Cricetulus griseus: one gene and its partners. The protein of the gene in region 2 purifies or fractionates together with the protein of the main gene of each other region. This does not show direct contact. Links are inferred from orthologs where the notes say so. Each region holds a gene or a part of one and is shown on either strand. Other genes may lie near its edges.

Region 1 (6,904 bases), on a different chromosome or scaffold from region 2:
CAAGTCTCCTGCCTCCTCACCCTCCTCCTTCCAGCAGGGATCCCCTGCATCCTCCCCAACGGTTAACCAAACTCAACAGCAGATGGGACCAAGGCCACCTCAAAATAACCCAATTCCCCAGGGATTTCAGCAGCCTGTCAGCTCTCCAGGTCGGAATCCTATGGTTCAACAGGGAAATGTGCCACCTAACTTCATGGTGATGCAGCAGCAGCCACCAAACCAGGGGCCACAGAGTTTACACCCAGGCCTAGGAGGTGAGGAACACTGAAGTTACTTGTGTTGGTAAATTTAGTGAAGCTAGATTTGAATAGAATGTCAGGTTTTAGTGTTAATGGTGGGACTGAAATAAGGATGTAATCGTTTGGTTTTGTAATATGGTGATGACACTTGATATAAAACTTAGTTAACTTAATGTATTTTTATCTAGATTACTATGTAACATCTTACTGGTTAAATATAAGCTAGCTCTCTGGATAAACATGCAGGTAAAATTCAAAATAGAGATGTTCATTTTGTTTCAAACTATTTTTGCTTAATCATGTACTAGTAAATTAAAATGTCCAGACCAAAACATGTATTTTATTAATAATTTAAACTTCTCATTTGTTGAAGGATTAAGATTTTTATACAGTTGAGCAAAAATGAAAAGATAAGTACAGGGTTTTATGGGGAAAATGCCCTTCTACTTACCAATTTTGATAATCCTAGTTACTAAAATCTAAGCATGGTATTTGTTAAGTTTGATTAAAGTATTAAAGGGGACTAAGTTCAAAAATCATTACTTTTATAGTTTTATAATGCCAATGCCTGCTCCTTAGAGAGGGAATTCCACTAGTTATACCTAAAGGAGATTTATTTATTTATTTTGTAAGGTGCCTCTTGTATGAAGAAAAAGCAATGGAGCTTAATGTGTGAGAGGTAAAACGATTACAGTAAAACTTATCCATCTCCATGTTTATTATTTATTCTTATTAATCATTGACCTAGTGCACATGACTGTGCTTGGAGCTTTTCAGTAAGGCATAGAGAGTGTCAGTAAAACTCACCTGATAAGACTATCCCCCCAAAAAGACACCCATTGCCTACCCAGAAAAAAACCCTTGCATCTTCAATGCAACATAGCAAAGGCATGCTCCCATGGTTTCTGGTAAAGTTAAGTTGCCCATCAGTCCTTTCACTCTCTTATAATTGATTTTGTTGAAATACAGGCTCTAATATTTCAATTCTAAGACATTTTTAGAAAATGTAAGAATGTTTCTGCTCCAAACTTCACTATTCCGGGCATCTAGCCCTAGATCAGTAGAATCTGGGTAGTCCCTTCTGCAGATATGATTACTGACTTAATTACAACGAAAGCATATAAATGGGGACTTGTTGCTGTAATGAAAGGACAAATGCATATTTGTCTACAAAGAGTTTTTCAGGGTATTGAAAATCTGGCCCTAATGAACAAATTTGAGAGAGCTTTAGGTATTGTTGCTTTTATAGAGCCTAGGTGGTCTCACCACATCAAGACCTGCGGTATGCACATGAGTGGATCTGAGATTCTCTTTACTGCAAACTTGTTTTCTGAAATTAGGCCTTCCAAAAGGTTGTAAACTTGAGTAGGATTACATTAGAGCATGATTTTTGGTACCATAGCTATCAGAATCACAGCAAATCTTACAAGAGAAAGGCATAAGTTTAATGCAGCCTCACTTTGAAGCTCCTGTGAACTCTTGTCTCTTCCAAAGAGATAAGCACAACGCTGGTGGGGGAGGGAGATTTTTCTGCAACGATTGTCATTCATTTTCCTCAAAGGGGGGAAAATACATCACCCATCTATCCTTAATTGGGACCCAACTCTTTCTTTATACTATTTCATACCAATTTGTTTGAACATGAGAGAATTTAGCATAATCTTTTGGTGCCTGTGTTGCAATATATAAATACTGGGAGTCATTGTTATTACAGAGAAAAGTGAGCCCTCAAACCTTACTATGGTATGGCCTCAGATCACATGTAGGGAGCAAATTGCCATCTTTTCCTTGGCATGTTCTGAGTGGAAATTTTTTAGTATTTCTTTTTCATTTTGACAATGCTCATGTAAGGGATTGTATTGATTTTTTTAACCATCTTTCCCAACCTTATTATTAAAGATCCTACCAGTGTGACAGAGAGAGCTAAGCCAGTGGAAACTTCATGCAGCTCATCCTTCCTTATTCATTCCATCTCAGCAGGAGTATAAATTTGCTAGGTAACTGCCTCACTCATTGTTTTCTATTAAGGAATGCCTAAACGCCTCCCACCTGGCTTCTCAGCAGGACAGGCCAATCCGAACTTTATGCAAGGTCAGGTGCCTTCCACCACAGCAACCACCCCTGGGAATTCAGGAGCCCTTCAACTGCAAGCAAATCAAAATGTCCAGCATGGAGGTTTGTTTATTTTGATTTAATTAGCCACATTTATTGAGCATTGATTATGTGGTAAATACTTTGATAGACAATAGAGGTATACAGATGAACAAATCCTTTAATTTCCTCACACGTAGATAATCTTTGGGAAATAACAGAAAATAAGTTTTGTTTTGTTTAGTTTTTTTCAAGAACCAGGAAACACCTTAGGAGAAAAAAAATGAAACTTCAGTTAGAGCAGGAGTCATACACATGCATGAACACGCGCTCACACACACATACTTCCTCTTCTTTCTATAAAGGGCTAAATAGTAAATAGCTTAGGTCATTTAGTCTGTATTGCAGTTATTCAACTCTACTTAGTGAGGACAACAGTGTTCCAAATCCTTGCCTGTTTTCAAACCAATCGTAGGCCTGATTTGCTGACCCTTAGATTAGAACTTGCTCAGGAAAAAGGCATTTCTGGGAAAGGAAGCCATAAATTCACAGTTATATGGGTTTATGGCATGTTTGAACATCTGCAACTTTTAAAATCTCTGGATAGTACATATCAGCTTCATTCATGCTGAGTATCTAAATTCTGGTATGCAATGTGGCACTTTTCCAATTCAGTCAGTACCAATAGTATAGTATATATAAGAAAGTTTGGACAGGAAATAACATACAGTGGATTAGCTAACAAGTACTCCTTGAAGCAGTTTTGTAAGCCCAAATTTCATGTTTCTGGGTTCTTCTGGTTGTTTAGGAACTAAGTAATTTTTTGCCCTTTCTCATTGAAGTAGTTTGAACTAAATTAGCTTAAATTTTTCTGAATTCCAACTTTCATTGTAAATTACTTAAAGAATGAGAAAAGTTATAGAGCCTTCGAGATGTCTCAGCAGGTTAAAGTTCTCTTTCTGGCCTTCCTTGCCAATGGGCATATATATGCCTACACACACATCACATACAGTAATAATAATAAATAAATAAAAATTCAATTTTCTAAGAAATAAAGAACAAGGGACTAGAGAGATGACTCAGTGTTTAAAAAGGCTTTCTACTCTCTTAATTCTCATTGTCCGTGTCAGTGGCTCACAACCTCCTGTATTTCTGGCTTCGGGAAATCTGACACCCTCCTCTGGCTCCATGGACATGAATGTGTCATGCATTCACACAGATACATATGCATTAATTTTTTTTTATTCTTTTTAAAATAATGAGGCTAGGCACAGTGGCACATGCCTTTAATCTTAGCACGTGGGGTGCAAAGGTGGGAGGATCTCGGAGTTCAAGGCCACCTTAGCCAACATAGTTCCAGGACAGCCAAGACTACATGGAGAGACCCTGTCTCAGAAAAGAAAAGAGAATGAGAAAAAAATTGGACTTAATAAATAAAAAGTAAATACTGTCTCTTGAAGGATGAGAGAAGAGTAGGACAGATGATTTGATTTTTCCTGTCTGCCAATGTAAAACTGCATTTCTGAGTTATGTGAGTTAATGTTATAGGAGATTTAAAAATGTATAAAGTTCCTAATTCTTGGGGCTGGAGAGATAGTTCAGTGGTTACGAGCATGAGTTCAGTGGATATATAGCTCAATAGTAGAGTTGTTGCCCAGCATGTAAGTGGCCTTTGTTTTTATTTTTGGTGTTTTGATAAAGGATTTTACTATGTAGCCCAGGCTAGCCTTGAACTTATGACAGTTCTCTTGCCTCAGCCGCTCAGGTGCTAGGATTACAAGCATGGAGCCACTGTGCCCAGCTGAAAAAATTTTAAGCCAAACGTAATAGTTAAAGGCAGCTTGGATCACATTGTTTCAGAGCAACCTGCTATATAGTGCTCTGAAGGTTTACTCAGGTGAACTGTGGGGTAGATTAGATTGGGGGTATAGCTCTAATTGAACACATTGGAGGCCCTGGGTTCAGTCTCCATCACCACCAGTGAGATGTAGGCATAAAGCAGGTAGCTATAAGAAAATCCCAAGGATCCAACAAACAAACAATGCAATAGGCCAAGACCTATTTTAAAGAGAACTTAGAACATGTCCCCTGTGGTCCACAAGGGACTGCCACAGAGTAGGATCACTAAACTTTTAACATCTCCTGTCCACAGCTACCAGATCAGAAGTTTGTCATTTCAGCAGAAAACCTCGTGTTAGGAAATATTGTATATTATCTTCTTTAAAGTACAACATCTAGATTTCACACACATAGTTTTTGAAAAGCATAATTACTTTCCCAAGAAGCATTTTTTAAATGTCTTTACAGTATTCCTGAGTTTTTTTCTGGAAGACACTGGTACATTCTTTGTTTCTCTCACTTACTCATAATAAAGCTCATTTTTAGCCCATGATGGTTTTTGTTAAGGCTTATAACTACATTATTGTGAATAAAATAGTTACAACAGTGGTAATGCTTCATTTAATTTAAAAGTAAACTTTACTTTCCTTTTTTTTTTCTTAAAGATTTATTTATTTATTATGTATACAGTGTTCTGGCTACATGTATACCTGCAGATCAGAGAGGGCACCAGATCTCATTACAGATGGTTGTGAGCCACCATGTGGTTGCTGGGAATTGAGCTCAGGACCTCTGGAAGAGCAGGCAGTGAGTGCTTTTATCCTCTGAGCCATTTCTCCAGCTCCTAAACTTACTTTCTAATGTTATCTTTAAGTTACTATATAAAAGTAAAGATACATTTCTCCTGCTGTATGATCATGAAATATATAAGCAGTTACTTCCATCCTATGTCACACTTCCAGAGTCAAAATACCACACAGAAAATGTGTCAAACAGTACATTTGTGTTGATTATTAGATACATGGATGATGGATGTCTTTCTGAGTAAGGTAGTTTGAGTATCTTAGTAATATGATGATGATGTTTCATTCTTTGTTTTTGTTTAAGGTGGTCAAGGAGCTGGCCCTCCTCAAAACCAGATGCAGGTGTCTCACGGGCCACCAAATATGATGCAATCCAGCCTCATGGGAATTCATGGCAACATAAACAACCAGCAGGCTGGTAGCTCTGGGGTTCCTCAGGTGACCCTGGGCAACATGCAAGGCCAGCCTCAACAGGGCCCACCATCTCAGCTGATGGGCATGCACCAACAGATTGTACCCTCTCAGGGCCAAATGGTCCAGCAACAAGGAACTTTGAACCCTCAGAACCCTATGATCCTTTCAAGGGCCCAGCTTATGCCACAGGGCCAGATGATGGTGAACCCTCAGAACCAAAATCTTGGGCCTTCACCCCAAAGGATGACCCCACCCAAGCAGATGCTTCCCCAGCAGGGCCAACAAATGATGGCACCACATAACCAGATGATGGGGCCTCAGGGGCAAGTTTTGCTCCAACAGAACCCAATGATAGAGCAAATAATGACCAATCAGATGCAGGGGAATAAGCAGCAATTTAACACTCAGAACCAATCCAATGTCATGCCGGGACCAGCACAGATAATGAGGGGACCAACTCCGAACATGCAAGGAAACATGGTGCAATTTACAGGACAGATGTCAGGACAGATGCTATCCCAGCAAGGGCCTGTAAACAGCAGTCCATCTCAGGTTATGGGGATTCAGGGGCAGGTTCTGCGGCCCCCAGGACCCAGCCCACACATGGCCCAGCAGCATGGTGATCCTGCTACTACAGCAAATAATGATGTCAACTTGTCTCAGATGTTGCCTGATGTTAGCATGCAACAAACCAACATGGTCCCCCCACATGTGCAGAGCATGCAGGGAAACAGTGCTTCGGGAAACCACTTCTCAGGCCATGGGATGTCTTTCAATGCACCATTCAGTGGTGCACCCAATGGAAATCAGATGTCTTGTGGTCAAAATCCAGGCTTCCCAGTCAATAAGGATGTAACACTAACAAGTCCATTGTTGGTCAACTTACTGCAAAGTGACATTTCTGCAGGCCATTTTGGTGTAAACAATAAACAAAATAATACGAATGCAAATAAACCGAAGAAGAAGAAACCGCCTCGGAAGAAGAAAAATTGTCAGCAAGATCTAAAGTAGGTTATAATCAGTTAACCTTGAATATTGCTCATTTATTTCTGTCTAGACATTTGTTGATAGAAATTTTTAAACATATTTAAAATTAGAGTTGGGGAATGTGGCTCAGTAGAGTGTCTGTCTACTATGCACAAAATCTGGGCATAAACCAGCCATGGTGGTAGACTCCTGTAACCTGGACTACATGAAACCTTTCTCTAAATTTAGGATAGTACAGTGAGATTGTCTAACAACTATCAGCTTATAGTTTATCTTATCTTCATCTGTACTCTTTTCTATGATCTTTTTATTTACTTTAAGGTAAATTTGCTTTGTAAATATATCAGTGCCACTCTGAATGATAAAGATAGTTCTCTTATATAACCACAAAATAACATTAACATGCCTAGAAAAAAATTTTTTGTTTGAGACAGGGTTTCTCTGTTGTAGCCCTGGATATCCCAGAATTCGATCTGTAGACCAGGCTGGCCTCAAACTCAGAGCCCAACTGCCTGTGCCTCCCAACTGCTG
Region 2 (7,359 bases):
AGGGACACCCAAGATGCTAGGTGTCTACAGAAAGGGGCGGGGAGGAGGTTGGGGGTGGGCATTTGAACCCAAATGCGCAGCAGGAAAACCCGCACTGCTCAGGTGGTGCCCAGAAAGGAGGGAAGGGTACAAAAGGAACAGAATGTCTGGGGTTCTCTGTCAGTCTGCCTGTTGGAGTGTCTGTTATGTACACAGATTTTGATGAGCTGAGGCACCTCCGAGGTGGGATCTGAGAGACTGGGTCTTGTTTGGTATGTTGGATGGATCCAGGAACAGATCTAGAGGGGCTCTGTCTAGAAAAGGGTTTATCTAACCAGGGCTCTCCAAGCAGACTTACTTCACCAAGGGTGTCCCACCTCCAAGCAAAGGAAACTCCAAGTTTTCCTCGTCTCCCTAGGGACAGTACAGGCTAGCCTTGGCCGCCTCACCAAGACTGTCTCCTCCTCTTCCAGGGTTTGCCACTGTCACTGCTCTTCCCTCTTTCCCACGGGCCCTCTCCTATCTCCCTTCTCTAAGATGGCAGCCAGCAGTTCTGAGGTCTCTGAGATGAAGGAGCTAGAAGATAGTTCCAAGACCCAGAGAGAAGGACCTGGCCATTCTGAAGCTGGCCTAAGTCCTGTCCAGGTTGTAGCAGAGATTCCAGACCAGCCAGAGGCCCTTCAGCCCGGCCCAGGTATCACTGAAGCCCCTGTGGACTCAGGGCCTAAGGCTGAGCTGGCCTCAGAAACCACAGAGACCCCAGTTGAGGCCTCAGAAATAGTCCAGGCCGCAGACCTCAGCTTAAACCCACCCGAAGAATCCAAGGCCAGCCCCAGCCCCAAAGAGGCATGCCAAGAGTCAGCATCCAAACCAGATGTGAACAAAGAAGCTGCAGCAGAGCAGGGGTCTGAGCAGCAGTCTGCAGCCCCTCCTGAGCCAATCTCAGAGCCTGCTTTCCACCTAAATCCCCAGCCAGATCCTCAGCCAACTTCCCAGTCTGCTCCTAAGCTACCCCTTCAGCCAGAGGCCCCCACCCAAGAGGACCCTACCACTGAGGTCCCGACAGAAAGTATAGGGGAAAAGCAAGAAAATGGAGCAGTGGTTCCCCTTCAGGCCGGTGATGGAGAAGAGGGCCCAGCCCCCCAGCCTCACTCACCACCCTCAACTGAAACACCACCAGCCAATGGGGCTCCCCCCCGGGTGCTGCAGAAGCTGGTTGAGGAGGACAGAATAGGAAGGGCTCATAGTGGGCATCCAGGATCTCCTCGAGGTAGCCTGAGCCGTCATCCCAGCTCCCAGCTGGCAGGACCTGGGGTGGAAGGGGGTGATGGCACCCAGAAACCTCGGGACTACATCATCCTTGCCATCCTGTCCTGCTTCTGCCCCATGTGGCCTGTCAACATTGTGGCCTTCGCTTATGCCGTCATGGTGAGCCCCAAAGGGACCCTGGCCCAGGCATACTGTGCTCCCAGCTTCCCGCTAGTGTCAGAATAAAGCCCCAGAAATGACACACTCCCTTTCCTCTTTCCGCACGGACCCCACTTTCCCAGTTGCTGGACCTTTGCTTGCCTCTCCCCAGGACCTAACCCTCCAAGCCACTCTCGACCTGCCCTGCCCTGCCCTGCCCTTTAAGCGGGAGGGAAAAGATGTTTCATGTAACTTTGCTGACCTGTGTGCCCTCTTCCTCCTGCATTCCCAATCCTTCCTTTCTTAACCCCATGGGCTGACCTCCTTCCTCTGGATTCTCACCTGATCCCTGCTGGGCTGGCTCCTGTTGACCTGGGCCATGACACCTCCAACCCCCCTCACCCGCACCCCAGTCCCGGAACAGCCTGCAACAGGGGGACGTGGACGGGGCTCAACGTCTGGGCCGAGTAGCCAAGCTCTTAAGCATCGTGGCGCTGGTGGGGGGGGTCCTCATCATCATCGCCTCCTGCGTCATCAACTTGGGCGGTGAGTGGGGGTCGGTCGGGGACAGGAAAGGGAGGAGTGGAAGGGTTGACAAGGGCAGCTTTACTAACCCCTTACCCTGCTCTCTCCTGTCTGTTCTCCCTATTTCTTTGTCTCTTCCTGTCTCCTTCCCTGTTTGTCTTTCCCTCTCCTCTCCCACAGTGTATAAGTGAGGGGTTCTGCCCTGCATTCCAAGACTTTCCTTCCTGTTGGGAGCTGTCTTGGGTCCATCCCTACCCTGGGGGAAACCCAGTCCATGGCCCTGGCCCCCATCCCTAGGGACCAAGGGAGCCTGAGCAGCCTTGTTTACAGCTCTTTCCTGCTCCTGCATCCTGCCAGGCTCCACTGCCAGCCACAGGGTTCCTTTCTCCCTGCACTTTTGCCTGCGGATCTCCCTTCTTGCCTCTTGATCCCCCCTAACCCTGCACTCGGAAAAACCTCTCTGCACTTCTGGAAGCCTTCCTGAACATCTAAATTGTACTCTGCACCTCTGCATCTCTCCCAGCCCACTGCACTTCTTCCTGCCTCTGGACTCCTCTGAACCTGAATTAACCCCCACCTCCTAACTGTCATTGTCTTGGCATCTAACTCATTCTTTTCTTCCTTCCTTAACACCTTGCTCCCCTTGCCACATCCCTGACTCCTCTGCCTTCTCATCTCCCTGCTACCATCTTCACCTTCCTGCACCACTTATTCTGTAAAAAGCTGCAGTACTTAGGTCAGGCTGAGGGAGGAGGACAGTGTGAGGAGAGGACTGCCTAGCTAGGGGCTCTGACTGTTCTCTACTGGGGACCATCTGGGCCCAGGCCATACCCTGACCCCAATCCCTAAGGTGCCTACCGGGTTGCAGAATTGGCAAGCCAGGCCTCACCTGGGGGAAGGTGAGAGTGGGAGTCCTCATTCTAAACATCCAGGGGAGGAAGGAGTGCCGCAGCCTGAGTTGACCTGCCCATTCGGGCTTTTAACCTCAGAGTTTCTTGTTTGAAGGTCTGGGGGTTTGGGGCCATTCACTTGCTTTGTAAACAATAGAATTAAAAAAAAAAAAAAAAAGAAAGAAAGAAAAAAAAGGACCAAAGTTCCCAGCTGCAGGGAGCGAGGGAGGGGTGGGGGAAGTTCTGTTATTATTCTCTAAGAGGATAAGGTGTTGCACGCCACAGCCCTCTGAGGAGGCAGGGAGCCAGCTGCAATGCATTTTGGAGTTGGGGAGGGGGGGTTGTTTCCTTTAAGAAAAAGTTGGGAGAAACTAAAATTCCTTTAAAAAAAAAATCAAACTGAGTCTCCCTTTTTGTATGCTGAATGCTGCATGAGTCGTAAACACCAATAAACAGAGAATGCATGAGACTCGCCTCAGTTGGTCCCTGTGTTCGTTTGCAGAGTCAAGGCACTGCTTTCTGGCAGGCCCTAGTGAACGAAATACGCATGCGCTGCCGCAGTGGCCATCTTTAGTGTGGGCCGAAGCTAGTGGTGCCTACAGGCCTATCCGCGCATGCGCCAGCCTTCTCTTCCCTCTTTCGAGTAGCTCTGATTACAGTCGAGTCTCCGCGCGCCATTTCTCTGCGCCTGCGTGCTGCGACCCTGCGCGGCCGGGAGGCGGGCTTTAGCTCCGGTTGTACGGCCGCTGAGTTGACGAACTAGGTCTGCGAGCTCTAAGGAAATGACTCCCGTCCAGGTGTTGGAGAGGGCGATGTGAAAGCGAGAAAGCAGGCCCTCCCCTTTCCAGCTCCGAGCGCGGTTCCTGCGGGTCCCCGGGAACGGCAGGATTCTGGATCTGGATCCGTGGGGTGGGGTCTGTCCTTGCCGGGATCTGAGCGCCCCCTCCTGGGGACGGGTCTCTGGCCGCAGTCAGTGTTGGACTGACTGGTTGGAGATTTCGTAAACCCCAGTGGATTTCAGTCCTTTTGGGGGAGGCGCCCTGGTCTGGTACTCCAGAATCTCTTACATTGCTGGGCTTCTCTAGTGCTCTATGTCCCTGGGCCATGGAACCATTGCAGGCAGCACAACGGCGCCTCTGTCTGAAGAAGGGGAAGTGACTTCCGGCCTCCAGGCTCTGGCGGTGGAGGACACCGGAGGTCCCTCTGTCTCGGCTAGTAAGGCCGAGGAAGAGGGGCAAGGAGGTCGGGAGGAGGCCGGGCGTGAGGGATCCAGGGCTGAGGAGGCACTAGAAGCTCCCAACGCTGCGGGCGACGAGCGCGCCGAGGGAGAATCCGAAGACTGGTGCGTGCCCTGCAGCGATGAGGAGGTGGAGCTGCCGGCCAATGGGCAGTCCTGGATGCCCCCACCCTCCGAAATCCAGCGTCTCTATGAACTGCTGGCTGCCCAGGGTACTCTGGAGCTTCAAGCGGAGATCCTGCCCCGCCGGCCACCTACTCCTGAAGCCCAGAGTGAAGAGGAGAGATCAGATGAGGAGCCGGAGGCCAAAGAGGAGGAGGAGGAAAAGTGAGACCATAACTTTACGTTGCCCCTGGGACTGTTCTCCTGAGCACAGAAACTGGAGGGAGGGTTGAGCCAGCAGGTGTTTGGGAGGGCCTCCCTCACCCGTCATTCTCTGTTCACCCTGTCTCAGGCCGCACATGCCTACAGAATTTGACTTTGATGATGAGCCAATGACACCGAAGGACTCACTGATTGACAGAAGACGTACGCCAGGTACGAATAAGAGGGAAGAATTGAGGGGAGGCCCCGGGCCTCTTCTGTGTATCCCAAAGTGTTCCATCGGCTGCTATCAAACCAGCCGCAGGATGGAGCATACACACAGGAGGAGGGTATTTCTGGCTTAGGTCAGTGCCTTACTTTTTCCTCTAAGAGACCCACAGACCTTCTTTTGCCTGTTCATTTCATCTTATTCCCAGAAGTTCAAAGTTGGCTGGTCATTATTCTAGGACACTATTATGTAGCTCTGTGTACATCCCCAGAACTGATCTGCCATCCCAGCCCACGTGCCTTCTGAGACTTACTCAGAATCATTGAGTTCTCTCCCACCTGGTCAGGCCAACAGCAAGTTCCATTAGCTCCATGTCTACAGATGTACCTTTAATACCATCTCTCTCCTGCTGGACAGTTTCCACAGCTCTAACTGGTCTCCCTGCTTCTGGTCTTGGCAACCAGAGTAGTCCTTGTCATTTCTCTGCTTGTAGTCCTCCAGAGGGTTCCATTACAGGTAACATGACCAGGGAGAATCTAAGTTGTCTGTCCTCTATCCCCACCCCAGTGCCCCAGGACCCTTGCACTTGTCACCCCCCACACACACACCCAGTATGCTCCCCAGCCATCACATGTCAGTCATCCTGTGTGTGGCCCAGCCTGAAGCATTAGCTCCTCTGTGCTGAGGCCTAAAATGGATGTGTTCAACAAGGTCTCTAAGTGTAGGGGCCGGAGGTGCTCGCTGCCTCAATCCTGTCTCACTTCCTACCTTCTTAGGAAGCTCAGCCCGGAGCCAGAAACGCGAAGCCCGCCTGGACAAGGTCCTCTCGGACATGAAGCGACATAAGAAACTAGAGGAACAGATCCTTCGCACTGGGAGAGACCTCTTCAGCTTAGACTCAGAGAGCCCCAGCCCTGCCAGCCCTCCGCTCCGATCCTCCGGGAGCAGTCTCTTTCCCCGGCAACGGAAGTACTGACTATTGCTGCTGGGGCCTACAGGTGCAGACTTTTTCTGCTGGTCGTGGCCAGCCCTTCCCAGCCCAGGCTCTGGGAAGCTTGTCACAGAGAAAAGCTTCAAGCTCCCAGCGCAGTGCCTTGCAGGAGAGTGTGTGTTCTGTTGAATGTCTGCTTGCAGTTCTGAGCTGGGTTTGCTGAGCCTAATAAAAGATGCAGAATGAGTCTTTTGGCAGAGACTGCCACTGAACCCAGGCATGTGCTGTCACTTGGGCAGAGGCAGAACTGTATTCCTCCGCGTTGGAATAGTGACGCCTGAAAGGGCAAAGGTACCCAGCCATCATCCCCTCCAGTCTGGTCCTCTGACACTTCCTATTCTCAGTACAGTCCCACAGTCAGTACTGAGGCAGAAACTACTGAGTATGCACCAGTCTGCAGTGTCTTCTTCAGCTGTAGCCTGGAGGAGGAAAGATACAGTTGCAGGGCCCTTTAAATACCCAAGCTCCGCCCCTGCCTGTCCAGCCCTATGGGGAAGTCATCCCCAGTGTGGGTAGGGAAATTCCTGACTCAAGGCCTGCAGCAACCAGCTACACCGCTGCTAAATGTGAGTACGGGATCGAGACCCTGGCAGGACCCCCAGACTCCAGCCCATGAGTAGGTGTCTGTCCCACTGGCTCTCTAGTGCTGCCTTTTTTCTGGGGCAGTTACACCTTAGTCACAAAGGGCAGGAAGGAGGGCGTTGGCAGCTCTGCCTTGAGAGGTTTCACTTTCTAAAAGTTTTCTGGGTTTTGAAATACCCTGCCGATACCCTCACTCCCAAAACCTAAAGCCTCCCTGACATCGGGATCTCACAGAAGATTGGGGGTAAGGGGGTGCTTTGGTCAGGCCCTTAAGTTATTAAGTTACACACACTTAATAACTACCCACTCAGAAGGCTGAAGCAGAAGGGTGCCTTGAGCCCGGAGCTCCAAGCCAGCTTAGACACATAGTTAGACCCTGTCTTCTTCTTTTTTTTTTTTTTTTTTTCTGGTTTGTTTATTTGGCTTTTGTTTTTATGAGAAAGGGTCTTGTGTTTCCTAAGTGGTCTTGAACTCTCTACATAGCCCAGGATGACCTTAAGTGTCAGATCCTCTTGCCTCCACCTGCTGAATGAATGCTGATGTAGCTGCCTGCCACCGCTATTAGTTTTATTCAGTGCTGGGGTTCCAACCTAGGGTTTCATGCATGTTAGGCAGAGACTCTGCAAACTGATGGTTGGGGTGTAACTCAGTTTCACAGCATAACTGCATACCCAAGACCCTGTTTTTGGCCCCTAACACACTTTTTTTCTTAAAAAAAAAAAAAGCCCAGGGGAACCTTGCCAGACACAGTTCACACCTCTAATCCCAGCACTTGGGCAGCTGAGGCAAGAGGATTTCAGAGGTTTGAGGCCAGCCTGAGTTACATAGTGCCACCACAGCCTGAGCTACAGTGTAAGGTCCTGTCTCAAATAACTAAGCCAGTTAGACAAAGTTACAGCTTCCATGCAGGCTCCATCTTTTGTCTTACTTCCCTATCCTCATTCCCCCAAGGACCTGGGCTCTGCTTTCTCTTCTTGAATGATTAGCATGTGACTTGACCCTGGTCTCTCTCAGTTGTGGGGGCTCTGCTGCCTTGTACAGGGCTGTGGGAGCTGTGGGCTTCAGCACTGAGCGCTGGCTAACAGGATGATCATAAGGGTAGCTTGATTTCCAAAAGGTGCAGAGTTTAGGGAGAACGTGTGTCTTTGGGGGAAGAGGACGTAAATGATAGTAAGCTCAATTGGACAATCAGCCTGAGATACTGGAGACTTGGGAT
Region 3 (7,610 bases), on a different chromosome or scaffold from region 2:
CACCCCTCCATCTCCTTTCCCTTGCCAACTGCAAAGACTGTTGTGTGAGAATTCTGATCCACCTCAGACAGGCCCAGGGGACACTGAGCCAGGGACTGCAATAAAAGGTCTTATTTCAGAAGGAACTAGCAGCTGTGCTGTCGTATTCATTTATCTGGGGATCCAGATGGCAAATCCAAATGGATGTTGGCTGTTGGAAGTTTGCTTGGCTGTTATGAGAGCTTTAAGTGAGAGGGGAGAGGAACTTTCTAGATATGTTGTATTTATAAGAATTGCTAGGGGACTAAGATGGATCAGCAGTAAGGAACACTTGGTGCTCTTGTAGAAGAACTGGTTCTATCCCCAGCACCCACATTTCAGGTTAGAAACAACATGCAACTCCAATTCCAGGGGATGTATCTTCTGGCCTCTGTTGCGCTCTTGTAGACATGTGGTGCATATAAACTCATGCGGGTACATACACCAGCACATAAAAATAATAAATAAAGCCAGGTAATGATGGCACACATCTTTAATCCCAGCACTGGGGAGGCAGAGGCGGGTGGATCTCTGGGAGTTCAAGACCAGTCTGGTCTACAAGAGCTAGTTCCAGGACAGCCTCCAAAGCTACACAGAGAAGCCCTGTCTTGTAGAAAACAAAACAAAAAAGTGTACTAATGTAATGCTGCTTGTTTAACCAACTATGTTTGAGATGACCTAACTGTCCCTAAAATTCCCCTAACTGTGCTTAAAGGAAGCCTGCACACGCTTCTTGGGGTCATTGCTATTTTTGTGCAGGTGAACAGCCTTACATATGCTGGTATAGTAATAAATGCTCTTTGCTCTTACCTACTATTTGAGTCTGGGGTCTTCCTTCAGTGTTTCCTCTGACCCCAACAACAGCTCTACCCTGCTGTGTTACTTGGTTTCAGGGTTTGTGCTATGACAACAATGGTGAAGTTTCCCACTTAAACCAGAAGGCTGTTTCCCTTGAGAAGAAGACATTCAAATCCACTGAGCGAAAGTTGGAAATCTGAGGGCTCTGGGTCATCGTTCGGGCCTCCCAGGCTGGTCTTGATTGAATATGTAGCTAAAGATGATCTTTCAAAGTTCTGATCCTCTGCCTCTAACTCCTAGTGCTTGTGCAACCACACTTGGTTTATGGGTGTTGGGGATTGAACACATGGCTTCTTGCATGCACTCTACCAACTGAGCTACATCCCCAGACAGACCTGCATTTTAGCAGTTCCTCTGGCTGGAATCTGGAAAAGGCTGCATATTAGGTAGAGCCAGGATGAGGATGGAAGTGGAAGGATTTGAGTGTTATCTGAGCAGAAGGAAGTTCAGAATTAGGTTTGGTTTCCAGTCCAGGCAGCTAGGCAGATATGGGAGATACTGTTCTTCCCACCTTACACTCTGCTCCATTCAGGGCTCCGAACATAGGGATCAGGTTTGTTAGGCACACAGTATCACATCGGCTGTTTCTGTGTCCTCTTTGGAAGGGGATTCTGGGCCAGTTGCCAGTCTTCTCTCACTCCTATAGCTATGGGAACCACACACATTCTCAGCTCCAAAGGCTCACTTCCTTTGCACAGGTTCCTATGCTATATTTGATACTCCCACACTGGGAGATAAGAGGCCGCCACCATCTCCAAGATTCTAAGACCATGTGTGTTAGATAGTAAGATGAAGATGCAGCCTGTCTTCAGGTTGTCATTATGTCCTTGTGTCCTCTCTGGGTCTTTCCTCCATTAGTGACAGGAGTAGAGGTGGCCTACAGGAGAGGGGGCTGTGAATACTTTGCTTAATTCGGGCATCCTGCCTGTCTGGAGCTGTCTTGTGAAAATGAGAATTACGGTGAAAACAGAGACTTTAAAATGAGCCTCTGAGCCATACAGGAGCTGGATTGTAGTGGATACTGCGGTTGCCTGGAATGTGATCTCTGGGCACCCAAACTAAGGAGCAACTGAATGATGCAGTGGTTCCAGATGCATGCATAGCGAGAGGACCTAGAGCCCCTGTGTTAGGGACACTTGCCTTTCATCTTTCTTTTTTCCTTCCTTCCTTCCTTTTTTTTTTTTTTTTTTTTTTTTTTTCTTTCGAGACAGGGTTTGTGTGTAGCTTTGAAGCCTGTCCTGGAATTAGCTCTTGTAGACCAGGCTGCTCTCACAGAGATCCCAGATGCCTCTGCCTCCGAGTGCTGGCATTAAGGGCGTGCGCCACCACCGCCCGGCCTTGCGGCGATAGTTTCTAAGACCTTTTTCTGAGTATGGGGCTGCGTAGCACAGCCTCCTTGTCGCCTAGCTCAGAGGCGAGGCAAATGTGTCCAACTTGAGCTGTGGCTTGTAGCGGCAGGAAGCCCCCGCCCTGCGGTAGGCTGGGGAGGCCGCAGGAGCTCCGGACTTCCGGACCTCGTGGACCTCCACCAGTGGCACCGAGAGGGTTCCCAAGACCCCAGCGCAGTCACAGGCCAGGACGGCCAAGCTGTAATTATCAGCTTGGCGACACAGCATGGAACAACAGGAGAATCACAAAAGCACATTCCGTCCCATCCTTCACTGCAGACACCACGGGTCTGCAACCAATGGATCCCAGCTGTCAAGCAGGAAGCGAGAGCCGCCGGCGGCCCCTTTAAGGCACTCCTCCTCCTCTAATTTTTCTGACCCTCGTCGCCGCCCGTTGCCCCGCCCCCCGCGCACGCGCACTCCCGCCCGCGTACCGCGCCGCTGCCGCCTAGTTCAGGAGCTCGTCTGCTCTCGCGCGCAGAGCTAGCCGACGCGACGCCAGAGCGCCCGGCCCCGCCGCCGCGGCCCCGGCAGGTAAGAGAGTGAGCCGGCCCTTTGGGCGCGAGGCGGGCGGCGGCCACGAGGGATAGCGGGCTCCGGGATCCACAGCGCCGCACGTGTTCCATGGGCCTCAGGCCGGGCCCGGCGCCGCCTCTGGGGCCGCGCCCCGACCCCACCGCCCCTTGTGGTCGTCATGGCCCACTCCTCCCACGACAACCCCCACTGCGCCACTAGACCCTTAGTCGTGCGAGCTCCTCGAAGCACACCTCAGGCTGGTGTCCTTGGGGGTGGGATTCACGGTCTTTCACCCAGCCAGTATCTCCCAGGTTTCCTTGGCCACTTGGCGCCTCTCTTATGTTGCCAGTTGCCAGCACAACCTTCACCTGAGTTCCAGTGCAAATTTCTACCTGACGAGGCCTAACTCTAGTCAAGGGGGTTGTAAACACTGTCTGGGTCAGCACACAGTGGTGTGAAGCCAGGGCTACTAGGACCAAGGTACTAGAACCCAGAGAGAATGGGTTGTAGCTCTTTGTTGGGTTGGCCAGCTGCAATCACCTGAGTGAAACATTCTGTCTCTTCTACACTTGTGCACTCAGTGCCATCCAGGAATCTGCATTCGATTGGAGAGAGAGTAGTGACTGCTGCCCTTCCATGGCCAGGCTCACTGTAGTATAAAGCCCAAGCCACCTTCCGAGTATTCTGTTTAGCATACCTTCCTCTCAGAGCTGTCCTCCCCAATCCTGCTTTTCCGTAGGCTTAAAACTTGCACACCTAGATGCTCTGTCTAGGACTCTGCCCAGTGAAATTGGAAATCGGTGATTTCTTTTGAGACAGACTTATGTAGTTGCTGGCATCTCTTTTTAACTGCTTTGAACTCCTGAGCCTCCAGCCTCCGGAATGTTGTGAGGAAGACTGGCTAAAGTTGGTGGGATTTTTTTTTTTTTTCTTTCCTCAAGACAGGGTTTCTCTGTGTAGCCCTGGCTGTTCTGGACCTTGTTCTGTACATCAGGCTGATCTTGAACTCAGAGACTCCCAAATGTGGCCTAAAGCGTGGTGCTTTCATATGTTAATATTTGACATCTTGAAGAAAGACCCTGTCTGTCCACAGGGTATTGCGGGGTGGGGAGGGTGGTGGTGCACACTTGTTTGCAAAGTCATCCACCCACTGCTAGGTGAATCTCCTTATCTAAAAGAAGCTGTTTAGTTCCCAGAACCTTCCCACCCAAGAGACCTCCCCTACACTGTTGCCCTGTCCTTTTACTGGGGAGATTTGCTGGGCTTTGTGAAAGGGACTTTCAGCATCCTCAGCTCCTCCTGCTACCTGTATGGTCAGCAGAAGTGGTAGCTGTGAGAATCCATGATATGGCCAAATTTTCATTGAGAATAAGCTCCTGGCGTTGGTAGCACATGCCTTTAATCCCAGTACTCAGGAGACAGAGGCAGGCGGAACTCTGAGTTTGATACCAGTCTGGTCTACAAGAGCTAATTCCAGGACAGGCTTCAAAGCTACACAGAGAAACCCTGTCTCGGGGAAAAAAAAAAAAAAAGAATAAGCTCCTGGTCAGGCCTGGTGATTGATATATGCCTGTTACATCAACTGTACCCAGAAGCTGAAACAGGAGGCTTTTGAATACCAGGTACATAGCTAGACCCTGCTTCCAAAAAGCTAAAAACACCAAACAGCTGACATTTCCTGGGCACCAGAGCTTTGTTCCCTGGAGAACCTAGGGGATCTATCCTCCTCCAGTCCTTGCACCTGGGCTTGAGCTACAGCAAGCTATGACCGTGATGGAACGGGCTGCAGGTAAAACAGCTGGGCTGCACCTGTGCCCTTTGTGGTGGGCATTGTAACTGTTACTCCTCTAGGACTGAAGACTTTGAGACATGTTTTGTGTGTGTCCTTCATTTGCCTTAGTCTTTACATGGGGTCTGTGTGAGGTTTCAGGTTTAACCTCAAAGCTAGAATTTACATCATCATTCTTATATTGATGGCCGAGAAATCCATGACCAGTGACTGACATTTGCAAGTATGCCTTAGTAGTTCTCCTTTGAGGACTACTACTTCATTTCCAAGTCACATGGTGCGCTTTTGTGTGGTGCATCCAGGTGATGGACCTATTGCTGCAATGGAATTAACTGTTGCAGGTGTACACATTTCAGGCTGAGTGCTGACCAGAATAACTACTTTCCTCTGCACAGTAGCATGTATCTAGTTTGCAGTTCACTGCTGTTCTCGCTGCTCCTCCTGAGGAAACCTGTGGAGGCAGCGACCACTCTGGTTTACTCTTGTAGCTCTTTTGTAGTACTGTGGGCACTGAGTCCTTGAGCTCTGTGAGCTTATTCTAGAAGGCAGCTTTGTACCTGCAGCCTGTGAGATCATAGGGAGCAGCTGGTGAGGTGGTGGCCACTGGGTTCATAATGCCTGTGTTTTCATGATCAAATTCCTTGGGTGCATTTTAGGGTAAGCTCCCAAACTTCTGCACAGAAGGTCTACCTCCTGTCACTTGGCCTGTCAGTTTCTGTCAGAAAGCCTTTTTTTTTTTTTTTTCTTTCTTTGGTTTTTCGAGACAGGGTTTCTCTGTGGTTTTGGAGGCTATCCTGGAACTCTCTCTGGAGACCAGGCTGGTCTTGAACTCACAGAGATCCGCCTGCCTCTGCCTCCCGAGTGCTGGGATTAAAGGCGTGCGCCACCAATGCCCGGCCAGAAAGCCTTTTTAATTAAAAACTGTGCCCAAGGCTCTTTGAAGCAAAGCTCACATGCCTGTACACATCTAGTACTGCAATGGGAAGCTGCCTTGAGGGTCAAGTTTTTCTTAAGCTCACAAAGAGGTCAAGAGCGGGTCATCACACAGAACATTCGAAGCTTCAGCCCTGGGACAGGGTGACAGTTAAAGGATGCCTAGCTTGGAACAGTTTATTAGCTGCAGGGTTCAATATAGTGGTCATGTTTTTCCCTTTTTCCTGAGAATGATTGCTTTTATACTTGGCAGGGTGGGTGGGTGGGTAGATGGTGGTCTTATGCATGTTAGGTGAATGCTCTCTGGTTGAGTTATTATACTTATCCCCAACAACCTTTTGTTGTTTTGAGACAGGGTTTCTCTGTGTAGCCCTGTTTGTCTTAGAACTCTGTAGACCATCTCAAACTCGGAGATCCACTTACTTCTGCCTCCCAAATGCTGAAATAGACGTGTGCCACTATACCTGGCCAAATTTATCTTATGTGTGTTTTTGTTTTGTCTTGCTTGCTTGTATGTCTGCGTACCACATGTATGTAGTCCCTACAGAGGCCAGAAGAGGGCGTCAGATCCTCTGAACTGGACTTAAAGATGTTTTACAAGTGGAAATCAAAGTCGGGTCCTCTGGAACAGCATTCAGTCCCCTCCCAGTAACCTTTTTTAAAGAGAGGATTTGTTTATAGGCCCTATACTGTAGCGTACGCTTTAGCTGACAGCCTCTTCCACTGTGACTCCCCCTTCACGGTGTCCTGCCCGGTGGGCATCAGAGCCATGGCCACGGAGGAGAAGAAGCCAGAGACAGAGGCTGCAAGAGCACAGCCTACCCCTTCCTCATCAGCCACACAGAGCAAGGTATGTCCCACAGGGACCGCTGTGGCAGACAGGCTGGAGAGATTCTTGGGGATGTTATTTTATTAGTGCAGGCTGCTCTGCCCAGTGAGGTATGCTGGCAGTGTGAGTTTCTGGCCACCTGGCAGTGGTCACACAGAGCCAAATGCTAGGTGCTGTCAGAGATTCCCAGACCTAAGACAGTGGGGGTGGAGTTTAACAAAAAGTACAGATTGTTTTGAGGTAGAGTCTTCCTATAGTCCTGGCTGGTAAAGAACACAACATGCAGATCAGGCTAGTCTTGAACTCATATAGATATGTCTGCCTCTGCCTCCTCCCTCTCCCCTTCATGTGCTGGGATTAATTTAAAGATATGTACCACTCTAGTTGGCTAAAAAAAATTACAAATTGTTGGTGTGCTGAGGTAGGGACTCCAGAGGAAGAAGGGGCTTTGAAGAGAGTGATAGGGTTACACTGACAGTTTGAAGTGTGACGTCAGATAAGGTGGTAGTAAGTGCTTGTGTATGAGTTTTGGAACCAGCTAATAATTAAAATTTGGGCATCAAGTGAGTTGATTGGGTAGTGGTAGTAGCCTCTGGCTAATTGGTACTGTCTCCCACAGCCTACACCTGTTAAGCCAAACTATGCTCTGAAGTTCACCCTGGCTGGCCACACGAAAGCTGTGTCCTCCGTGAAGTTCAGCCCCAATGGGGAGTGGCTGGCAAGTTCATGTGAGTATCCTTCAGTTCTTTGGCTAGAAAGCCTGAGCTTCAGCTGAGGAAAGGTGGTTGGTGGTGTGGGCATTGACTGCTACTTCTTACTGCTCCCATAGGTTTGTTAGCATTCAGCATGCAATTGCCTGTTTGTATGAAGTGGTGGGTGGGCGTGGGGTGGAGTGGCTACCTGTGTCTACATTTACTTCACTGAGTGACCTAGGCCCTGTTATTTAGGGGAATAGCTACAACCTCTTCTAACTCCAACTCCTTTTCTTTCAGCTGCTGATAAACTCATTAAAATATGGGGAGCATATGATGGAAAGTTTGAGAAAACCATATCTGGTCACAAGCTGGTAGGTTTCCTGTGAGGTGCACTGGCTGTTGAGCCAGATGGTTGGTTGCCCTGTCTGTCCTGGAGCTTACTCTGTAGACTAGGCTGACCTTGAACTTGGAGATCTGTCTGTCTTGGCCTCCTGGGTGCTTGAATTACAGGTCTGTACCACCACCTCCTGGCTTGTCAGGCCTGTCTTTAATGCTGGTGGTCGCAGGGTCTTACTATATAGTTC
Region 4 (6,904 bases), on a different chromosome or scaffold from region 2:
TTAGAACATGACAAACACTATCAGTACCAATACATCTCCTTAAAATAAGACTAGCCTACAACAGAAAATCAGGTGACAGTCAGATCAGCAGTGCTGCCATGAACATGAGGTGCTGACCCCAGCAAGAGCCCGTCCCACCTCAGTGGAAGGTCTCACCCACCAGCCCAAACCACTGCCCAGGGCAGAAGCACACCAACAAGACAAGACAGAAGGGGAGAATGGAAATTGCCTGCAGGCCTCACCGCCTGGGCTACCTACACTATGCCACAGTGTTCAAGTCTTCACACTGTAACGCAGAGGCTTTTTTTTAAAAAACATACTTTAGTTAGCTGGGCCTGCAAAGTTCAAGGCCTGTCTAGGCTACAGAATGAGTTCAAGGCCAGCCTATGCAGCTTAGAAAGACCTTGTTTCAACTCCATAAAAAGGGCTGGGTGCAGAACCACTACCCAGCACCACCAAATATGCAAAACAAACCCTCATATCCCACCACCGTACCTGCTTGCATCACTGTGTTCATGATCCTTTTCTCAATCTGGCTCAGACTCACTTAACAACAAGTCACATTTCCAACACATGCTGCCATAACACAACAGGGAAAGAAAGCCAAGCACACCTCTTCTGCACTGTGCACCTAGCAGCCTCAGAGGCCTAAGCAGCATACCACACAGCGTCTGCAGGAAGGTCCTTACCTCCTGCAGATGCTCCAAGTCCCCCTCCAAGTCCCCCTCTGCCATTTCCAAAAAACCCCTAGCCAGGAGGGATCCAGCCTGCCTGGGAGCTGGAGCTTTAATACAAAGGCCCAGGAGACCAGCCTGGGAAGGCTGCCCACTTCTCAGTACGGGCCATGTGGCTTTTGAGAGATGACTCTGATTGCCACTCTGCCATCTGGGCCAACCTCAGGAAGTCTTTCACCACATGAGCAGGAAGGACACTGGCTTTTGCTGATGTGCCTGAGTTGGTCATGCTATATTAAAGTCATAATTACTAGTTTAAGCTAGAGAAAAATATGCATCTGACAGCAGGCCCTGAAGTGCACAGCCTGGAATCATCTCTGTATATTACAGAATGTGCCACAAGAGGGCTGAGCATGGTGGTGCACACCTTTAATCACAGCACTCAAAAGGCAGAACTCTGGGAGTTCTAGGCCAGTCCAGTCAACTTAGCAAGTTCCAGGACAGCCATGACTACATAGTGAGTTCCAGGATAGCTAGGGCTACTTAGAGAGATCATGTTTCAAACAAACAAAAGAAATAAAAAGAAATAAAGGCCTTGCCATGCTGGCCTTAAACTCCTACCCTCTAAGAACCCTCCCACTTTGGCCTCCCGAGCAGAAAGAACTATAGGTACACATTTCATGTGACTGGCTATATAAACCCATTCTTAAACGCTATAGGTTAAAGCTGGACATGGTAGGTAGCTCACACTGTAGTCATTTTCAGGTATACATCAAGTTCAAGGCCAGGCTGGACTCTACATGGGACCTGTCTCCAATCACAAAACAAACAGTAGAGTGGGAGCGAGAATATAGATACCCTCTACCAGTCAATCTGCAATTAACAACTTCCAGAATGTTCTATGCTAAATGGGCTCTCCAGAATAGCCAATATGACATGGCCTCACCTGTCCTAGCTACACTTGCCCTGAATGAGTGTTGTGGGCAAGCCCTGTCTGTGTCCAGGCTCCCTGCCTAGGAAGGGCTTGCAGGAATGTTCACCCAAAACAGGGAACTCTGACCTGTGGCCTGTGCTGGACCACGCCTCTGCCACTTCCAGTGTCTCTTTGTCTCTGAAGGCCTTGCCCACTAGCTATGAAAAAAAACCTGACATCTGACAGTTCTGTTCCTTGGTTCCTGGAGTGTGACAGAGCTCTCTGAAGCTAGCAAAGCTCATGTACACATGTGCCCACTCACTATCCACACTGACAACAGAGAAACATGTAAACTGGTATGTTACAAACCTATAACATGGAGAGGACAACCTTCATATGCTACTAAACTAAAAGCTAGCATTCACATGTCCACTGCAATTGAGTAACACAGCCACAGTCTGGGGGGGGGGGCAGAGGGGGAGGTGGGGGGGGCGGGGCTGACATACAGCAATGGCCACTGTGGGTGTGGGGCTGACGTACCATCAAGAGCTCTGCAGTCACCTTCACTGGGACCCTCCATGCATCTGAAAGAGAAAGATATCATCTTCCATATGGAATATTCACACCAACCTGCTGGAAGCCCTTCCGACGCAGGGAGCCTGGACACACAGGGTTTGCCCATAACACTCATTCAGGGCAAGTGTAGCTACAATACTGTAGCTCAGGTTTCTAGGACAGGTGAGGCAAGCATGGCTGATGCTTTACACACCATGATTCACCAAGGGTATGTAATGGGTGCTGTGTCCCATTCTGGGAAGACTGCAGTTACGATGAGCAGGGCCAACAGGTCCCACAACGGCCAATACACAGGTGCTGGCCGTAGGGAGCAGCTTGTGCCGTGCAACAGAGCGGACCTGAGGCCAGATATGCAGAGAAGTCTTGGTAAGGCCCAGATATGCAGAATGGCTGCACAGTGCGGATTAAAGAAGACCCCCTCCCATGATGAAAGCCTTCTAAATCCAACTGGGCTTCTCAGGTGTGACCAAAAGACAACCTGAGAAATGCTCAATTCTCAAAGGCAGAGGTAAAACCCAGTGCTGTATTACACATATTACAGACACGAATAAAAGACCTTAAAAAAAAGCTGTGCTGTATCTTATGTCCCTATTTTCCATGGGACAGTCCTCCCCTGAGAAGCTGACCACACAAGGCAGGGGGCAGCATCAGGGAGTGACAGCAAGTTCCCAAACCTTGACAGTGACAAAGAAAGCATCACCCTGAGGAGAAAACGGGGTGTGTTCCCTGCTCCAAATGCTTCTCAGACAAAAACCCAACAACCAAACCAGGGGGAGGGAACAGGGAGGTGCAGAAGGGAACTAAAGAAGCAGGTGACATGAAGAGTTGACAGGTGTCAAGCCACAGTGAAAGCACATGAACCATCACTGACCTAAAAGACTTAGGACCAAGTGAGGAGTGGGCGCAAAGGGGTCCGGAAGGTTGAAGGCGGTGTACCGGCTGTACTGCACCTGCCGCAGGGCCTCCAAGTTTCCCAGCAGAATGTCCCCCAGCCACTGTGCATTCACACACGGGATCCGCCATTCTTTGGCCTTCTCGTACTTCAAACCACTTGGTCTTTTTTTTTAATGAGAAATCACATTTATTCAATGTTAGTGTCATCTTGCCATGAATTCTTGTCTATTTTCAACAAAAGCCAATTTTAAAAAGAACTAATAAAGTGGGTGGGCATGTTTCAGCAAAGCTGCCAGCAAGCCAAGCTGGAGGCCAAGGGTAGTTAACCCCAGTCTCCAACTGGGTCAGTATCCGACTTTAAACCCTATCCCTGGTATCTACATCCATCAATTCACACTCTATTATTTCCTCCATTCACCAAGTGAAGTCTTTTAGAGGTGTTTCTGACAGTTCCGTGAACAGTGATGCCTCTTTAAAAATAGAGACAAAGATTGTTTTTAAGCATGGTGGTGCCCACCTTTAATACTAGCACCAGGGAGGCGGAGGCAGGTTTGAGGCCAGCCTGGTCTACACAGTGAGTTCCAGGACAGCCAGGACAGTGTGAGCTGGGAAGACAAACGCTCAAAGGCCTTAGAGTTATTCTTCCATGTACTTCCACACTTGAAATTCACACAAACTACAGTGTATTAGAAAATGACTGCAGCCAGACATAGTAGTAGCGCATGCCTGAGATCCCAGTACTTGGAGTTGGAGGCTCTCCACAAGTTTGAGACCAGCCTGGCTTACAAGAGGCCACACCTCCCCCCAGACAAACAAAACCACCCAACTATCTCCACGTCCCTCTCCTTAAGGCAAACAGGACGGAAACAGCTTCCAAGCCCAGCTTACTCTTTACAGATGAGGACAGTGTTGCTACGGCACAGGTACCCCGTATACTTGGCACCTGCCAGGTATGTCATTAACTTCAGGTCATCTCTGTCATTGTCAACAAATCCAGTCACAGAGATAATCTGGGGAAAAAAAGAGCAGATGAGAATATAAACACAAAGCGGCTTTGATTAGACTTTCTCATGCTCCTATGGCCTTGGGGATGTATCTGGCCCTGCCATTCCTGAGAGCATCATGAGAGTAACTTCACTGATAACGTGAAGCATACAGCATCCTCGTGGCAAGAAGAGATGAGGAGCTGCACTCACAAGGGAGTATTTCTGGCATCTGTGCAATGCTGCTCAGGTAATTTCAGGTTACTGTGCGGAGCACACACACAAAGGGCAGGTCTTTATTTTCCTCACTCATCCAGACTCTGGATCACTGGGTTGCAAGTGCCCACAAGTACTGCCTACGTCTGCCCAACAGCAGCTGACTCATCCTAGCATTTGGCGTGTCAATGAGGTAAAACGCCTCGTCTTTGCCACTGCTACGGTGGGCACGGTGCACAGAGGAGAGGGTGAGAAGCACCCAGGAGTCTGGGACACAACTGTGGAAAGCCAAGCAGGAGAGGGGACGGGTCTCACATGCTGTGAACAGGGTTTGCCCCCGGGTGGAAATGCCACAGGGAAATGCAGGGCTCGATGGGGCGGCACCAGTTTCTTCTTCTTCAGGACTGTGTTGAGCCAGTGTGCAGTGACACACCGCTTCCTCTCCCGTAGCGCCTGGCAAACAAAACAACAGTCATGCTGTCTCAGGCTCTTTGCTTAGAACCAGGGAGAAAATGGTTGGCTTACATAATACAGCGCCACCTTCCCAGAACCAATGAATCAAAGAGGTCACCTCCAGGGGATCTGAGGCTTCTGGCCCCCCAGGGCACCTACACACACTTTATGCACTTACAAAGAAATACATATACACATGATTAAATTTAAACCTCAAAGAAAAACTAGTCAGAAACCACACAACACAATCCCCCCACAAAGGGAAACACCCCTACACCCTGCATACAAAGCATGTACATATAACAGACTCCTAAATTTAACCACAGGTGAAGCTCACAGTCTAAAGTGGGACAGTCACCGGTACCTAACAAGGTGCTCCTAAAGCCAATGTCACGTACACATAGCATCCATCTGAACTACCACCAACATTTTTACAAAAAGAAATGAAAACCTCAGGGATAAGGAGGTGATGCTGGGAGGAGCTTACAGCCCAGGGTTCACTGTTGCCCTCTCAGGGTCTAACCCCCAGAAGCTCTTGCATGCAAAACAGCAAAAGGTTCCACGTCCCATCTTGAGGGTCATCTGGATGGTGACTAGGAGGGCCGGCCCTTTCCCTGCCTCTACCTGGGGCCTCTCCCTCTTCCCTCTCTATTGCCCAAAGCTGTCCACAACAGTATCTAACCCAACGAAGTGACTTTCTGAGTTTTGGAGGCAGGAAAATATTCTCTGGAAGACTGTAAGCACTGGGAGGATGCAGCAGATCACTTGTCTAATGTGCAAGAGGTCCTCGGTCTAATTCCCAGGACCACGAAAGGTGTGTGCCTCTCCCACTCAAGCGGTAAAGACGAAGGGATCACAGGCTTCAGATTGTCCTCTGTTGCACACTGAGGTCAAGGCCAATGTGGGTCACATGACACTGTTCCACAAATATATTATGCACCTGCTTCTTAGGCTGCATGTAACAATGCCGCTGCCGCCAGTCACGGTGACCAACCGTTCTTACCTGTGCATACATACTGCTGACTTGGCTTTCGCAGAGAAGGTGTGTGCATCGGCTTGTGAATGTGGGGTCCACAGTGCCGCCATGCGCCTGGATTATCTACACAAAAGATGCAGCCAAACGGGATACAACAGAATGGATTTCAACTCAGACAACTATGAAGAGAAGTCAGGCTACACTGGCATGGCTCATTCACCAAAGGATAAACAGTACCTAACAGCAACAGTCATACCAGTCACGGAACCTTCCCCCAGCACTGCTACTCAGTTCTTTCACAGAAAGTAGAAGGCAATGTGCTTACTTAAAACTGAGCCTCTTCACCTCAGTACTGCTGACATTTTGGTCAGCAGAGGGTGTGGGGGAAACTGCCCAGGTGGTGCATGGTGTCCAGTGCTCACTCTGACTTCTCACTGGGCACCAGTGGTGTCACTTCTAACTACCAAATGCTCCCAGAGCAGGTCCACTGCCCTTACACACCCTCACACTGCGTCAGAATGTAGTGTGTGTCAAGGCGCTGGAGATGGCTCCGAGAGATGAATGAGTACTGCTCATCCAGCACTCGCGCTTGTTCCCAGCACCCTCGCATCTGCCCGCATATCTAGCTTCAGGGGACCCAATGCCCCAAGATTCAGTGGGCACTGCACGTGCGCACGCACGCACACAGCATTTATGAAACATTTATGAAAACTGATTCCAGTTTTGGAGAAAGAACTATTCTATTCCGATGCTGGTTATATACCCTAGATATCAGCCAAAGGCTGTCACCACAGAGATCTGAACATCACTGCACAGCAGCTGAAATGTAAGCTCAACACTGAAAATTACCTGCTCTCAATCTGACTCAAGTGCTTATTTCATAAGTTCAGCTTCCAGGTGACATGAGAAAGCTATCAGTCCCTGCCTGCACCTGCTTCCCGCCATCTAAGCTCAGTCCTGACAATTACTAACATATCCTAACTCACACATGCGATGCTCGTTCACTGTTTTCTCATCTTACACAGTATCTACTAACTTTCCTGTGTGATAGCCACGTCATCCAGGTGGCTTCCCACGGTACCCTAAGACAAATGTTCCCCCTGTGTAAGTTCTGTTTCCTGGTGCTGGCCACTACCTCCCCTCACCCTCCACACCAGTTGTCTTGAAAGCATCCAATCTTACTCTCACTCTCTCCATAGAAATGTGTGCAAAGTGTGTC

The links.
Region 1: the proteins of Pagr1 (region 2) and Ncoa6 purify together in Homo sapiens (affinity purification with mass spectrometry; 3 studies listed by BioGRID and IntAct, with this or other methods). This does not show direct contact. The link is inferred for Cricetulus griseus from reciprocal best matches to the Homo sapiens genes PAGR1 and NCOA6.
Region 3: the proteins of Pagr1 (region 2) and Wdr5 purify together in Homo sapiens (affinity purification with mass spectrometry; 5 studies listed by BioGRID and IntAct, with this or other methods). This does not show direct contact. The link is inferred for Cricetulus griseus from reciprocal best matches to the Homo sapiens genes PAGR1 and WDR5.
Region 4: the proteins of Pagr1 (region 2) and Paxip1 purify together in Homo sapiens (affinity purification with mass spectrometry; 6 studies listed by BioGRID and IntAct, with this or other methods). This does not show direct contact. The link is inferred for Cricetulus griseus from reciprocal best matches to the Homo sapiens genes PAGR1 and PAXIP1.

Annotation. Positions count from the first base shown.
Region 1 is NC_048599.1:24,215,360-24,222,263, forward strand, and holds part of Ncoa6 (nuclear receptor coactivator 6), read left to right. Parts: coding exon 1-254; intron 255-2,267; coding exon 2,268-2,414; intron 2,415-5,276; coding exon 5,277-6,393; intron 6,394-6,904. UniProt on the Homo sapiens protein: Nuclear receptor coactivator that directly binds nuclear receptors and stimulates the transcriptional activities in a hormone-dependent fashion. Coactivates expression in an agonist- and AF2-dependent manner.
Region 2 is NC_048596.1:73,734,977-73,742,335, forward strand, and holds Pagr1 (PAXIP1-associated glutamate-rich protein 1), read left to right. Parts: upstream 1-3,462; 5' UTR 3,463-3,892; coding exon 3,893-4,365; intron 4,366-4,492; coding exon 4,493-4,575; intron 4,576-5,346; coding exon 5,347-5,546; 3' UTR 5,547-5,773; downstream 5,774-7,359. UniProt on the Homo sapiens protein: Its association with the histone methyltransferase MLL2/MLL3 complex is suggesting a role in epigenetic transcriptional activation. However, in association with PAXIP1/PTIP is proposed to function at least in part independently of the MLL2/MLL3 complex.
Region 3 is NC_048599.1:139,189,326-139,196,935, forward strand, and holds the start of Wdr5 (WD repeat-containing protein 5), read left to right. Parts: upstream 1-2,647; 5' UTR 2,648-2,798; intron 2,799-6,183; 5' UTR 6,184-6,271; coding exon 6,272-6,352; intron 6,353-6,950; coding exon 6,951-7,059; intron 7,060-7,323; coding exon 7,324-7,397; intron 7,398-7,610.
Region 4 is NC_048601.1:94,826,993-94,833,896, reverse strand, and holds part of Paxip1 (PAX-interacting protein 1), read right to left. Parts: intron 5,809-6,904; coding exon 5,713-5,808; intron 4,710-5,712; coding exon 4,572-4,709; intron 4,068-4,571; coding exon 3,946-4,067; intron 3,220-3,945; coding exon 3,035-3,219; intron 2,172-3,034; coding exon 2,128-2,171; intron 1-2,127.